Linked DNA regions of Anolis sagrei. Each later gene encodes a partner of the first gene's protein in a complex. Links are inferred from orthologs where the notes say so. Each region holds a gene or a part of one and is shown on either strand. Other genes may lie near its edges.

Region 1 (7,342 bases):
AGGAATGATGGGAAAGATGCCGGAAGTGGGACAAAGAAGGAAACCTATGGAGGAAGGGAGCACCCCGATAATATCTTAAGCCTTATTAAAAGGGGGGGGGGGCTCTTGAAGAGGAGGTAAGAGGAAGAAAAGGAAGGAAGGAAGGAAGGAAGGAAGGAAGGAAGGAAGGAAGGAAGGAAGGAAGGAAGGAAGGAAGAGCTTCTTAGACAAATCTCTCTTTTTCCTTGGGGCGGCCCTGGAAGAAAGGAACAGGAGGGATACAGGAATGACAGGAAAATGGTGGAGACGGGATAGGGGAGCTCTGGATAGATGTGTTATACACACACACACACACACACATATATGTGCGCATGTGACTGAATGTGTATTTATTTGTATATGTATATATATGTATTTATGTATAGGTTTATATGTATTTATGTAGTGTGAAAGGATCTGTATGTATAGAGGTGTGTATGTATTTATACATGTATGTATACATGTGTGTATGTGTATGTATATATTTATGTGCATATAAATATGTAGGTATATGTATGCATAGATTTATGTGCATGTGTGTATATTTATTTATTTACATCCCACTTTATCTCTCCATATGGAGACTCAACATGGCTCACAATTAAAAATATTACAATACAACTTAAAATGTACTAATGTACTAATAATAAAACAGCATTACCATTATACATTATTATATGTTAACAGTATATTTTATATATTAGTACTGTTACAATATTATTATTATATTGTATTATATTATATTATTACTATTATCTGTATACACAACATATTGTGTTCTTAGCATAGCACAATGTTAGTATTATATATTATTTTACTGTACTATACTGAAATATTAGTCATATTATATATAATTATTATATTATCTAGTATTACATTGTGCCGTATACCACTATATATATATATATATATATATATATATATATATATGTATATATGTATATATGTATATATGTATATGTATATATGTATATAACACTACTATAACACTACTAGTATAGGACACCATTCGTATTATATAATATATTGTACTATTTAATTAGTTGTAGTCTAACATATTATATTACAACATTATTAATATTAGTACTGTTATATTACAATGTATACATGTACAGGTTTGTATATGTACAGGTTTGTATATGAATATATTAATATGCATATGTGTATGTATGTATATGTATGTATGAATTGATAGATACATAGATATGTATTAGGGGGTCTCGCCTATATGTATTTGTATGTTTATGTGTGTATATGCATGCATGCGTGTGTATATATCTATTTATATATATGTACATGTGGGTGGATTGGTATGTTTATGTGTGTATATGCATGCATACATATTTATGTATGTATATATACATGTGGGTGGGTAGGTAAATTATGTTCTTATGTGTATGTATATATGTGTGAATAGCTAGCTAGATAGATATGTATTAGGGGTCTCCCCCTGCCTGTATGTATATGCACGTTTATGTGTGTATATGCATGCATTTATGTATGTATATATACATATGGGTGGATTGGTAAATTATGTGCTTATGTGTGTGTGTGTATGTATGTATGTATGTATGCATATGTATCTGTGAATAGCTGGATAGATATGTATTAGGAGGTCTCCCCCTCCCTGTATGTATTTGCATGTTTATGTGTGTATATGCATGCATGTATATGTATATATCTATTTATGTGTGTATATATACATGTGGGTGGATAGGTAAATAGATAAATAGATAGATAGATAGATAGATAGATAAATAGATAAATAGGTAAATAGGTAAATAATAAATATGTAGGTGGGTAGATAAATAGGTAAATGATAAATAGATAGGTAAGTAGGTAGATAAATAGATAAATAGGTAAATGATAAATAGACAGACAGGCAAATAGATAGGTAGGTGGGTAGACAAATAGATAAATAGGTAAATGGTAAATAGATAGGTAAATAGATAAGTAGGTGCGTAGATAAATAGATAAATAGGTAAATGATAAATAGATAGACAGGCAAATAGATAGGTAGGTGGGTAGACAAATAGATAAATAGGTAAATGGTAAATAGATAGATAGGTAAATAGATAAGTAGGTGGGTAGATAAATAGGTAAATGATAGATAGATAGGTAAATAGATGTGTGCAACAGTCTACATGCATAGTCTTTGTGAAATTAAGATGGGTAGGTGGGTAGATAAATAGGTAAATAGGTAAATGGTAAATAGATAGGTAAGTAGGTAGATAAATAGGTAAATGATAAATAGATAGGCAAATAGATAGGTAGGTGGGTAGATAAATAGGTAAAAAGCTAGGTAAGTAGGTAGATAAATAGATAGGTAAATAAATAGATAGGTGGGTAGATAAATAGATAAATAGGTAAAGGATAAATAGATAGAAAGGTAAATAGGTAGGTGGGTAGATAAAATAGATAAATAGTTAAATGATAAATAGATAAGTAGTAGGTAGGTAAGTAGGTAGATAAATAGATTGATAAATAAATATGTAAATGATAAACAGATAGGTAAATAAATAGGTGGGTAGATAAATAGATAAATAGGTAAATGATAAATAGATAGGTAGGTAGGTAGATAGATAAATAGGTAAATGATTAAAAGATAGGTAAATAAATAGGTTGGTAGATAAACAGGTAAATGTTAGGTAGGTAGATAGACTGGTAGGTAGATAGGTAGGTAAATAAATAGATAAATGATAGATAGATAGGTATAGATAAACAGGTAAATGACAGATAGATAGGTAGGTAAGTAGATAGATAGGGATGATGCCTTGGGGCTCCCTGGCTTCCTGCTCACCTGCTGGGGGGGCTGCTGGGCTGCGCTGCCCGCCTGGGCGGCCTCCTTCCGGCATCGCTCCCAGGCCCTTCCGCCGCCACTTCCGCCTCGGCTTCTCGCTCAGCGACCGGGGCCGGCGGGGAGGAGACCATGCCGAATGAAGGAAGGAAGGAAGGCAGGCAAGGAGGAGGCCCAGTCCCCGGCTTCTCCTGCTCCTCGTGCCCGCCTGCCTGCTTCCTTTTCCCCCTCAGGCTTCAGGAAAGGCAGGCTCCGCCGGTGAGGAAGGCCTCACTGAGGAGGAGGAGGAGGAGGAAGAGACGCTCTCGCCGCTTCCACAGAGCCAGCCGGGCGGCGGGAGGGGCCCCGCTGCTAGGAAGAGCCGGAGCGAGGGGGCGGAGCCAAGTAGGAAGGGCTACCTCAAGCCCCGCCCCTTTCACCCCTTCCTGCCCGGAAAGCGCCGCCTTTCCCCTCATACAAGCCCTTTCATCAAAATCTTTTCAGTCATGGCGACACAAAGCAGAAGAATGATAATTATCCCTAGAATATGATAATAATAATAATGAGAAGAACAACAACTTATTTGGTTTTCACTCCTTTTTTCCCACCCCTCCCCCCCGGAAAATAAGACGTTCGCGACGCGTTGCATCCTGGGAGGAGGGGTTCCCGGACTCCGAGTCGTTTGGCTCTGCGGGGGACTACAAGCCCCGATAGGCGTCGCGCGCGACATAGTGCTGCGCAGGCGCAATGGAGTGGTGTGCTCTGAATGGCAGGATTATGTGTCATCTGTTGGCTAGAGCCGGTTTTGGAGTCCCAGCCTCCACCAAAAAGGAACTGGGCCCAAAGCTTAATGGTGATAACAATACTAATAGGTTATTATTATTATATAATAGGTTTATTTCCTGCTTTGATCTTAGGAACCAAGACCCAAAGCAGACCAGAAATCTCTAATTATAATGATAATAATAATAATAATAATAACTTTAATAATGTTGCAATCCCAGGTGACAGCAGGATTGAAGAGAAACAACTGGAAAAACTGACACATGAGGATTTAAAGATCGAACTACAAAGACTCTGGCACAAGCCAGTCAGGGTGGTCCCAGTGGTGATTGGCACACTGGGTGCAGTGCCTGAAGATCTTGGCCTGCACTTAAACACAATCAGGGCTGACAAAATTACCATCTGCCAGCTACAAAAGGCCACCTTACTGGGATCTGCACGCATTATTCGCCGATACATCACATAGTCCTAGACACTTGGGAAATGTCCAACGTGTGATCCAATACAACAGCCAGCAGAGTGATCTTGTCTGCTTGTGGACTCATCTTGTTGTATGTATAATAATAATAGAAATAATAATAGATTTAATAATAATTTAATAATAATAATAATAATAAACACGGGTGTCTGTGGTGGAGGAAGCACATAAAATCTAGGATGAAACAGTCCCCTTATGAAATAATAATAATAATAATAATAATAATAATAAACCTTTATTTGTACCCCGCTACCATCTCCCAAAGGACTCAGTGCAGCTTACAAGAGGCTGAGCCCAAATACAATAGTAAAAACAACAGCAACAACAAACAGCAAAATAACTAAAAAACAAAACAATAACATTAACAGCACACAACGACACAATTAAAATCAATGGCAGGGCCAAATGTAATAATTAAAAATTAAAAGTGCTGGGCATGACCAGGTGGAGTGTTTGGTGGGGGGGGGGGGCATGCAGATATCTTGGATCTCTGATAAAGTGCGTTGGGACATAATGCTAGGAGTTTCCTTATTCTGGGAAGGCGCACTGGAACAACCATGTTTTCAAGCTCCTCCTAAAGATTGCTAGTGATGGGGCCTGCCTGATGTCCTTAGGGAGGGAGTTCCAGAGTCGAGGGGCCACCACCAAAAAAGCCCTATCCCTCGTCCCCACCAATCACGCTTGCGATGCAGGTGGGATCGTGAGCAGGGCCTCTCCAGATGAATGAAGAGATCGTGTGGGTTTGTACACAGAGATGCGGTCACTTGTGTGGTAGGCAGTATGGGGTTGGTGGAGGACACTGGCAGAGTTCTTGGACATGTTCTTGGTGCTCCCCATGAACCTGCAATGTCATTAGAGGGAAGGCCATGAGTGTCTCCTGAGTGGTGGGAGCTGTACCTGTTTGTGGAGGAAATTTTCTCTGTAAATGAACAAGCAGGAGCTTGTTTCTGTAAGTCTCTGCAAAAGGCCACCCTGCTCGGATCTGCACGCGTTATTCGCCAATACATCACACAGTCCTAAACACTTGGGAAGTGTCCGACATGTGATCCAATACAACAGCCAGCAGAGTGACCTTGTTTGCTGTGGACTCATCTTGTTGTGTTTCAAATAGTAATACTACTACTAATAATAATAATAATAATAATAATTCACTGGCATGATTCACTGGAACTTATGTCACAAGTACCACCTACTAGTAGTAAAGAATTGGTGGGATCATAAACCTGCAACAGGAGTGGAAAATGAACACGCAAAAATACTGTGGGACTTTCAGATCCAGACTGACAAAGTTTTGGAACACAATACACCAGACATCACAATTGTGGAAAAGAAAAAAAGTTTGGATTATTGATGTCGCCATACGGGTGACAGTCACATTGAGGAAAAACAACAGGAAAAAACTCAGCCGTTATCAGGACCTCAAAATCGAACTGCAAAGGCTCTGGCATAAACCAGCCCAGGTGGTCCCAGTGGTCATCGGCACACTGGGTGACGTGCCAAAAGATCTCAAAGGGCATTTGGAAACTCTAAAAATGTAACAAAATCACGATCTGTTAACTGCAAAAGGCCACCTTACTTAGATCTGCGCGTATCATTCAAAAATGCATCACACAGTCCTAGACGCTTGGGAAATGTTCAACTTGTGATTTTGTGATACGAAATCCAGCATACAGATCTCATTTGCTGTGGCATACTGTGGTTTTGTGTCAGCAAATAATTAATAATAATAATAATAATAATAATAATAATAATAATAATAATAAATTACCGGTAATAACAAATGTAGTAACAATAACAATAGTCATAATATTTATATACAACAACCTACCTTTTGCCGCCCCCAGTGGCCACATCGGGAATTGCTCTCCTTTGAGATTCAGCTTCTTCATGCAACCACCCTTTGCCTATGGACGGTCCTTCGTCGCCCCCAGTGGCCACGTCAGGAATTGCATGGGTTGTTTTTTTCCACTCAAAAACCCTCATTCACTAAAAATCTAGGTTGAAATTGTCCCCTTATGAAAGCTTTCACTGGGGGGTGGGCGGTCTGGTGTCTGTGGAGAACATTGGCAGGCATTTAGACATGTTCATGGTGCTCACTATAACTTTCAATGTTTGAGGGAGGGCCTTTTGTGTCTCCTGATGGCTGGGAACTATAGCTGCTTGTAGAACTTTGTGTAAGTGGACTCTCTTGCCACATACATATTTCAACTTTTATTATGTGTATAGATAGAGAAAAAAATGTGCTCATTTTATGTCAAAACTAAATCAGGTATCTGCGACTGAGAATAATATGAGTCGACAATGTGATGTGGTAGTAGCCAGCCTCTCCCCTCCCAACATCCCCGTTGCCTCGCCACTATAAGAGGGTTTCACGAGAAAATGCAGGAGATTTTTGGAAGGAATTTGTCATTATAGGAATTCTAGTTCACCTACATCCAGAGAGCACTGTGATTGCAAACAACAATGGATCTGCACAAAATTTTGCTGCGCAGAAGCGGATTTTAGCCAAGTCCCATGCATAAGACACACAGGCAAGAGGAAAAAGGAACAGAAAAACTTATCAGCAGAGGCATAAACTTGCAGTGTTGCATACAAAATCAAACAGTACAACAAATTTACATAGTCCTTGTAAGTAACACAGAACAAGGCTTCTTCGTCTTCATTCAAATGAGAGAACAAAACATAAACCTTGAGTAAATAGCTATTCCACCATAGCAAAGAGCATCGCTGTTGAGCATAGCAGCATTACAGCATATTGCTTCTCTTCCTCGGAGTAGCGTATTGCTTCTCCAAACTGTATTCTAAAATCCATACAGTTATACCCCACCAGGTGTGGCCCAAACATGTTTATTTATCGTGTTATCAGAAACCATACCATTGTGTTACAATTCTAACAGAACAAAACAAACACACAGATTAAAAAGAAAAAGAAAAAAAACCACACAGATTTTGCAAACTTTGTAGTTGGTTAAATGTCCGTCGACCAAAGTTCTTGATTTGTTCCATCCGTAGATCATCCAAGCCAGCTGCTTTGCCATTCTTACATTTGTTGAGAGCCATGTCCAATTCAGTAGATGTAAAAGGTTCATGGAGGTTGTTGACTGACCTACATTACCAGCTGCACATAATAATTAACATCATAAGATTTTTCTTTAGCACACACTTGATCCTGCTACGACTTACTGTAGCAAATTTGGCATGCATACCCAATATGCCCAAATGTGAATGCTAGTGGATTTTGGGCTTTGACATTTGTTAGTTGTACTGGGATTTATAGTTCACCTGCA
Region 2 (7,506 bases), on another chromosome or scaffold:
TTGTTGTTTGTGCTATTATTCAAAGTATAAGAATCTCCTGTCTAGAAGGCAGGGGAAGAAATCTCTTTATAGGCTTCATTCTCATAAAGATCTTTTCTGTGGAAGTTCCTATTTTTCCATTTGGCACCTGCCCAGTTAATAAAAGTCTGGACAAGGAGGAGGAAATAGAACCACCAAACAATTCTTCACCTGTTTTGAATGTGGCTTATCACTCTAAAAAATCTCTACACTGCTTGCACCATTTCAAACTGAAAGGTTGCAAAACAGTTAATAGTCCTGCCGAGAAATGAAAATTTGCAGAGTAGGAGCCAGAAAGGTACAAAAAGGAGCCAACCTAATAGTCAGGGCTTCCCAGTTCTAAATAAAACAGTGGTTCCCAACTTCCTAATACCACAACTCCTTAATACAGTTCCTCATGTTATGGTGACTCCCAACCATAAAATTATTTTAGTTGCTACTTCATAACTGTCATTTTGCTACTGTTATCAATAGTAATGGAAATATCTGCTGTGCAGGATGTATTTTCATTCACTGGACCAAATTTGGCACAAATTCCCAATATGCCCATATTGGGGTTGGGGGATTGATGTTGTCATTTGGGAGTTGTAGTTGCTGGGATTTAAAGTCAACCTACAATCAAAAAGTATTCTGAACTCCACCAATGATGGAACTGAACCAAACTTAGCACACAGGACTCCCATGACTAACAGAAAATACTGAAATACCTGACCCCCAGGTTGAGAAATGCTGTAATAAAACAAAGCTGCACTTATTTTCTCTTTCTCAGTTCCTTAAATAATAAAAAGGGAAAGGGAAGGGACTCAGGTCGGCTCTAGGATGAGACTGTTTGTGCCTTTCCTCTTTAAAAGACTTTCTTGCTTTTAGGAGAAAGTGAAGTGTTGATGTGTGTGTATAAAATCAGAGAAGAAATGAATTCCAAACAGAACTCAAAAGAGGGTTAACTCAAGGTGGAAAATGAGAACACAGTGCTGTAGGGTTATTTCTTTCGACCCCTCCTTAAGTAAAGGTTAGAGCCAGCAAAAGCCAAACACTTTGATTACATGCAAAGGGGTCTTATAACCCCTTGGAGACTAAATGTGCATCCACACTGTGGAATGAATGCAGTCTGGCATCACTATAGCTGTCATGGCTCAGGGCTATATGCTCCTGGGAGTTGGGAGAGGGATCTGCTATAGACCTTGAAAAACTTTATAAAACTATGGTACAGCACCATGATTCCAGCATAATGAGCCATGGAAGTCAAACTGAATTCACTTGACTGTGTAGATCAGGCATGTGCAAACTTTGGCCCTCCAAATGTTTTGGACTTCAACTCCCACAATTCCTAACAGCCTCAGGACCCTTCCTTTTCTCCCTCAGCCACTTAAGCAGCTATACCCATGCCTGGTGTAAATGCACCCTGAGAGAAAGAAGATGATACAAGCGGAACAACCCTGTCTGAGAAGTTTGGCCCAATTCAAGTTCCAAAATCCAAAATACTCTAAAATCCACAATTGTCCACGTGATGCCTGCGAAAGCAACAACTTTGCTTTCTGGTGGTTCAATGCAAACAAACTTTGATTCATGCATAATTGCGTTTAAAAATATTGTGTGTAAAATGGCCTGCAGGCTACGTATATTAGGCATATATGAAATATAAATAAATGTTGTGTTTAGCTTTGGATCCCGTACTCCAACGAAAGCATTCCAATATCCAAAAATAAAACTCCAAAATTCAAAACACTCCCAGTCCCAAACATTTTAGATAAGGGATGTTGAACCTGCAGCAGAAGTTTTCCGCTAACTTTCCTCTCCAAAAACTTCTGCTATTAATTTCTTTCTCTGGTGGTGCATATGCTACACAGTAGAATGAATGCAGTTTGACAACCACTTGAGTTGCCCTGGCTCAATGCTACGGAACCCTGGGGATTTGAAGTTAGACATAGCACAGGCATGGACAAACTTCGGCCCTCCTGGTATTTAGAACTCCAACTCCCACAGTTTCTAACTGCTGGGTGTTATGAATTGTGGGAGTTGGAGTCCAAAACACCTGAAGAGCTGAAGTTTGCCCATGCCTGGCTGTAGCACAAACACTCTTTGGCAGAGGAAGCTAAAGACCTTGTAGAACAGTGTATCTCAACCTGAGGGTTGGGACCCCGGGGGGGGGGGGGGGTCACAAGGGTGTCACCAAAGACCATCAGAAAAAAATATTTTCTGTTGGTCATGGGGGTTCTGTGTGAGAAGTTTGGCCCAATTCAATCGTTGGTGAGGTTCAGCATGCTCTTTGATTGTATTCATCCCACCCAAATGTTAAGGTTTATTTTCCTCAAACTCCACCAGTGTTCACATTTGGGCACATTGAGTATTCGTGCCAAGTTTGGTCCAGATCAATCATGGTTTGAGTCCACAGTGCTCTCTGGATGTAGGTGAACTACAACTCCAAAATTCAAGGTGTGCCAAGATTGGTTCAATTCCATCCTTGGTGGAGTTCAGAATGCTTTTTGAGTGTGAGTTAACTATAAATCCCTGCAAATAAACTCCCAAGTGACAAAATCAATCCCCACCCCAACCCCACCAGCATTCAAATTTGGGGTATTGGGTATTTATGCCAAATTTGGCCCAGTGAATGAAAATACATCCTGCATATCAGATATTTACATTACGATTCATAAACAGTAGCAAAATGACAGTTATGAAGTAGCAATGAAAATATTCTTATGGTTGGGGGTCACCACAGCAGGAGGAACTGTATGAAGGGGTTGAGGCATTAGGAAGGTTGAGAAACACTGGCGTAGAACTATAGCTTCCACGGCCCCTTTGCCTTGAGCCACGGCAGTTAAGGAGGTCTGGAACTGGATTAGTTTTACAGTGCAGAGGCCCCCTCAGATCTTTGCAGGCTGCTCTCCCAGACTGTGGCTTTGATGACCCCTCGGAAGACGCTCTGCCTCTTACTTAACCTGCCAGCCCAGGACAGCAAAACGCCGGAGGAAAGTTTCCGAGGCGCCTCTTCTTCTGTCGGGAGCCCTTCTCCGCCTCCGCTCCAGCCTTTAGCCCAGAAGGAGGTTCGCTTTGACGGCCCGCGAAGCCCCTCTTTCTTTCCCTGCCAAGCCCCTTCCTTCCTCCCTCCCTTCCCTGCCTCCTCCCGCTTTGCCTGCTTACCGTCTCGGCACAGGACGCGGCTCCTTTTGCGCCTCAGAGCGCAAACTCCAAGCACACAGGGACTGGCCTTGGGCTCTTGTTTGCGCTTCCGCCCCTTTGCCTGGGCTCCTCCCCTGGGCAGCCAAGGAGGGAAGGGGAGGGAAGGGGAGGGAAGAGAGAAGAGAGAGAGAGAGAGAGAAGGGGAGACAGAGGGGAACCTTCCAGATGCGCCTTTGGAAGAAGCCAAGGCTCAGCAAGCATTCCCTGCCTTGCAAGACTATCCACACTGCAGAATAGGAGAACACTTTGATACCGCTTTAACTGTCAAATGCTTTTCTTTAAGGAAGTGAGAAAGAGGAAATGAGCAGACAGAATTAGAACTGATTATGGCAGGGATGGGCAACCTTTTGAGCTTGGTGTGTCAAAGTTCGCCAAAAAACTAAGCAAAACTAAGCATTCTCTTCCAGAGGAAAAAAAACAACCAATAATTTCACAATTTTTATAGTTTAAATAACAAAAATGGATAATTGTAATATATAACGGTCAGACCCGTAGCCAGGATTTCAATTCGGGGGGGGGGGGGGGCTGAGTTTTTTTCAGAGGGGGTTTCAGGGAGGGGGGCTGAGTCTGAGTGAAAGAGGGTCTAGCCTAGCAAACCTTTTGTATCATTACCCCAATACCACCATGCATATGGGATATATTGAGTATGCTGATCAGATCATGATATGAATAAACATAACAGTTTAAATAATGCACCAGTAAGGCCTTTTCGATAGCTGGGTCCAGAAGCATCGCACGTTATGAAGATGCCGCATCTCTCATAGAATCAAAGAGTTGGAAGAGACCTCATGGGCCATCCAGACCAACCCCCTGCCAAGAAGCAGGAATATTGCATTCAAATCACCCCTGACAGATGGCCATCCAGCCTCTGTTTAAAAGCTTCCAAAGAAGGAGCCTCCACCACACTCCGGGGCAGAGAGTTCCACTGCTGAACGGCTCTCACAGTCAGGAAGTTCTTCCTCATGTTCAGATGGAATCTCCTCTCTTGTAGTTTGAAGCCATTGTTCCTTGTCCTAATCTCCATGGAAGCAGAAAACAAGCTTGCTCCCTCCTCCCTGTGGCTTCCTCTCACATATTTATACACGGCTATCATATCTCCTCTCAGCCTTCTCTTCTTCAGGCTAAACATGCCCAACTCCTTAAGCCGCTCCTCATAGGGCTTGTTCTCCAGACCCTTGATCATTTTAGTCACCCTCCTCTGGACACATTCCAGCTTGTCAATATCTCTCTTGAATTGTTGTGCTCAGAATTGGACACAATATTCCAGGTGTAGTCTAACCAAAGCAGAATAGAGGGGTAATTTTAAAAATTATAACCGTAAGAAGCAAACCTCCTTATGGCCGCGGGTTCTGGAACGGCCAAAAATCTTCTACAGCCCGGAAAACTCCTTCAGAAGTGCTGTTTGCGCAAGAGAGACTTAGCTAATGTAAGTCAGGCTGGAGACAGATAATATAGAAAGAATGTAAGAGTTCTTTAATGGTGAAACCCTAACCCTAACCCTGAACCATACTGTAAGCCTAAGCCTAACCTCTTACTCAAACCCTAACCGTAACCCTAAATCATAGTCTAACCATAACCCTTACCTAACTGTAACCCGTAACCCTAACCCTAAACCTTGCCCTAACCTTTACCCTAAGCGTCCCCTCCTTTTTATCCTTCCTTCACTCTCCCCGCTCTCACTCCCTCCCCCCTTCCCTTATTCACAGCTGCCTTTGCGGCATCTCCGTAACAACTCAGAGCTCAGGACCCAGCTATCATACTATCACTTATATAACTATATTTAATAAACCAAAAATTAATTATTTAACTTAACTGCTTAGTGATTTCTTTGTTCATCCGTCATTCTGTTTCTTCTGTTGATCTTGATATTATTTAACGTATGGGGTGCTGTGAACTAAGATAAGTGAGGGGAGGGGCAATTATTTAACTAACCTCCCTACTAGTGACTTTTTTGTTGCTGAATTTCATTGGCTAAATCTTCCAATGAAGGTTGGTGTTTTGAACATTTCAAGCCCAAGCAAGAGCTACTAATTTCATCTGTCAATCTGTTTCTTTTGTTGGTTTTGATATTATTTAACGCTGAGAATAAAGTCTCACAAAAGTACATAGAGGGAAAAATTGTCAGTAAAGCCATTGCTATATTTTTCAGGGTGCTAAAAGCTGCTCCCTGCTTCACCAGCTGGAAGTGAAGTCAATGATCCCCTAACGGCCTAAACAGAAGTCCCAGAACTAGATGCTCTGTGCCAGAGTTCTGTTGTTTTGGCCTACAGACTTCCAGCACAGAGTGTCTACACTACACTACAGCAAATGTTTCATCCTTGGCTCCTGCACCTGGCCGTGCAGGAGCCAAGGATGAAACGTCCTTTTTGGGATGCAGCCCCATACTTCTCTGTATGTCGCTGCATCCGACCGCATGTCATAGAAAATGGCTATGCGTGTCATTGAAAATGGCTACACGTGTCAGTGCTGACACACGTGTCATAGGTTCACCATCACAGGGTTATGGAGTCATCTGGCTCTTCCACTGGGTCCTTCAGTGTCTTTCAGGCTTGGTCTTTGCAAACTCTAGGTTGACATTTATTCTTTTTGGAACTTTAACTCTTATTTTCTGAAATATCATACAAAACCTGACTGGAACAACCTGGGGATAACTATCAGACACAGTGAAGACATCTGCTCTTTTGCTTTGCTACTCTGCTACTGATTACACATGCACAGTGTGGAACATATCGCACCATGTTAAAACAGTGGATTTGGCTCTTAATGAGACATGCCACATTATCACAGGATATCTATGCCCCACACCACTGCAGAAATTATACTGTTTAGTTGGTATTGAACCACCTCACACCCACTGGGAAGTAGCAGCCAGTAATGAAAGGACCAAGGCAGTGACATTTCCGGCCCATCCCCTGTTAAGATATCAGCTAACAAGCCAATGCCTCAAATCAAGAAATGGTTTTCAAAGATCTACAGAGATACTCGCAGGAACACCTCAGCAAGTGAGAGTCTAAAAGTGGCAGGATAAAACTCGGAAACTCAATCAGTAGCTGAGGCTGGATGAGAAACTCCCTCCTGGGCAAAAAGTGGACTGAGTGACTTGTAAGGAGCTGAACAGACTGCTCTCTGGCACCACAAGATGCAGAAATGGGGCCACAAAGTGGAATCCATGACATAAGAGTGTGGAAAAGTGCAAACCACAGACCACTTACTACAATGCAGCCTGAGCCCTACCACATGCACTGTGGAGGACCTTCTTATAGCAACACCAAAGGCACTCCAAGTGGCCAGCTACTAGTCAAAGGACATTTAGTATAATGCCAGTTTTTTTTAACTTTGTTTGTGTTTTAAATACATTACAACTGTACCTTTAGTTAACTTCTGACAAGATAAATAAAAATAAAATAAACAAATAACCTAATGTGCATGGGCAAACTTTGGCCCTCCTGGTGTTTTGGACTATAATTCCCACAATTCCTAACAGCCTCGGGTCCTTTCCTTTTCCCTCTCAGTTGCTTAATTGTGCGAGTTGAAGTCCAAAACACCCAGAGGGCCAAAGTTTGATATATTTGCTGTATATTTATGCTACAGTGTAGTTGCACTTTTGTTGACCTTGGACAAGTCACATTCGCTCTAACCTCCAAGGAAAAAGTAGGGAAACTTCCTCTGCACAAATCTTGCCAAGAAACTCCAGTAATAGGGCTGCCTTCGGGGCGCCATAAATTAAAAGCAAGTTATTCAATGGAGTGGCATTCATAACTCTTATTTAAGACCAGCAACTGGATTTATTTAGGGCATAATGTCAGCATCTTCATTTAGACAAGACAATTATGTTGATACTGTTGTTCAACAGTTATGAACTCTTTACCAATGTATTGCAAATCATATAGGGATTTGCCATTCTCGCCTACCGTTTGCCCTAGTAGGCATCATTAGGTGAATCTACACTATAGAATTAATGCTATCTGACACCACTTTAACTGTAATGGATCAGTACTATGGAGTCCTAGGAGCAGGGGCTTGGTGGGGCATCAGCACTCTTTGGCAGAGAAGAATAAAGATATCATAAAGCTTACTTAAGCAATCGTTGTCTGAATATGATGGCCTTCCAAGTGTAGTGTCTTAGCAGTGGGTCCGTAGATGACTGTGGAGCCATATTCTTGATCCACATGTTCTTCCACAGTTTTGTGTGTGTGTATGTGTGTGTGTCAGGAGCGACTTGAGAAACTGCAAGTCGTTTCTGGTGTGAGAGAATTGGCCATCTTCAATGACGTTGCCTAGGGGACACCTGGATGTTTTACCATCCTG

What was found.
Region 2: the proteins of AAK1 (region 1) and PDLIM5 are in contact, whole or in part, in a crystal structure (PDB 9F6S), measured with the Homo sapiens proteins. The link is inferred for Anolis sagrei from reciprocal best matches to the Homo sapiens genes AAK1 and PDLIM5. Residues at the interface, in NP_055726.4 of Homo sapiens: Asp956, Leu958, Ile959, Asp960, Leu961; in NP_006448.5 of Homo sapiens: Ala12, Pro13, Trp14, Gly15, Phe16, Arg17, Leu18, Phe24, Gln67, Ile70, Lys71.

The regions. Positions count from the first base shown.
Region 1 is NC_090027.1:20,519,877-20,527,218, forward strand, and holds the start of AAK1 (AP2-associated protein kinase 1), read right to left. Parts: upstream 3,240-7,342; 5' UTR 2,819-3,239; intron 1-2,818.
Region 2 is NC_090025.1:23,610,807-23,618,312, reverse strand, and holds the start of PDLIM5 (PDZ and LIM domain protein 5), read right to left. Parts: upstream 3,265-7,506; 5' UTR 3,160-3,264; intron 1-3,159. UniProt on the Homo sapiens protein: May play an important role in the heart development by scaffolding PKC to the Z-disk region. May play a role in the regulation of cardiomyocyte expansion. Isoforms lacking the LIM domains may negatively modulate the scaffolding activity of isoform 1.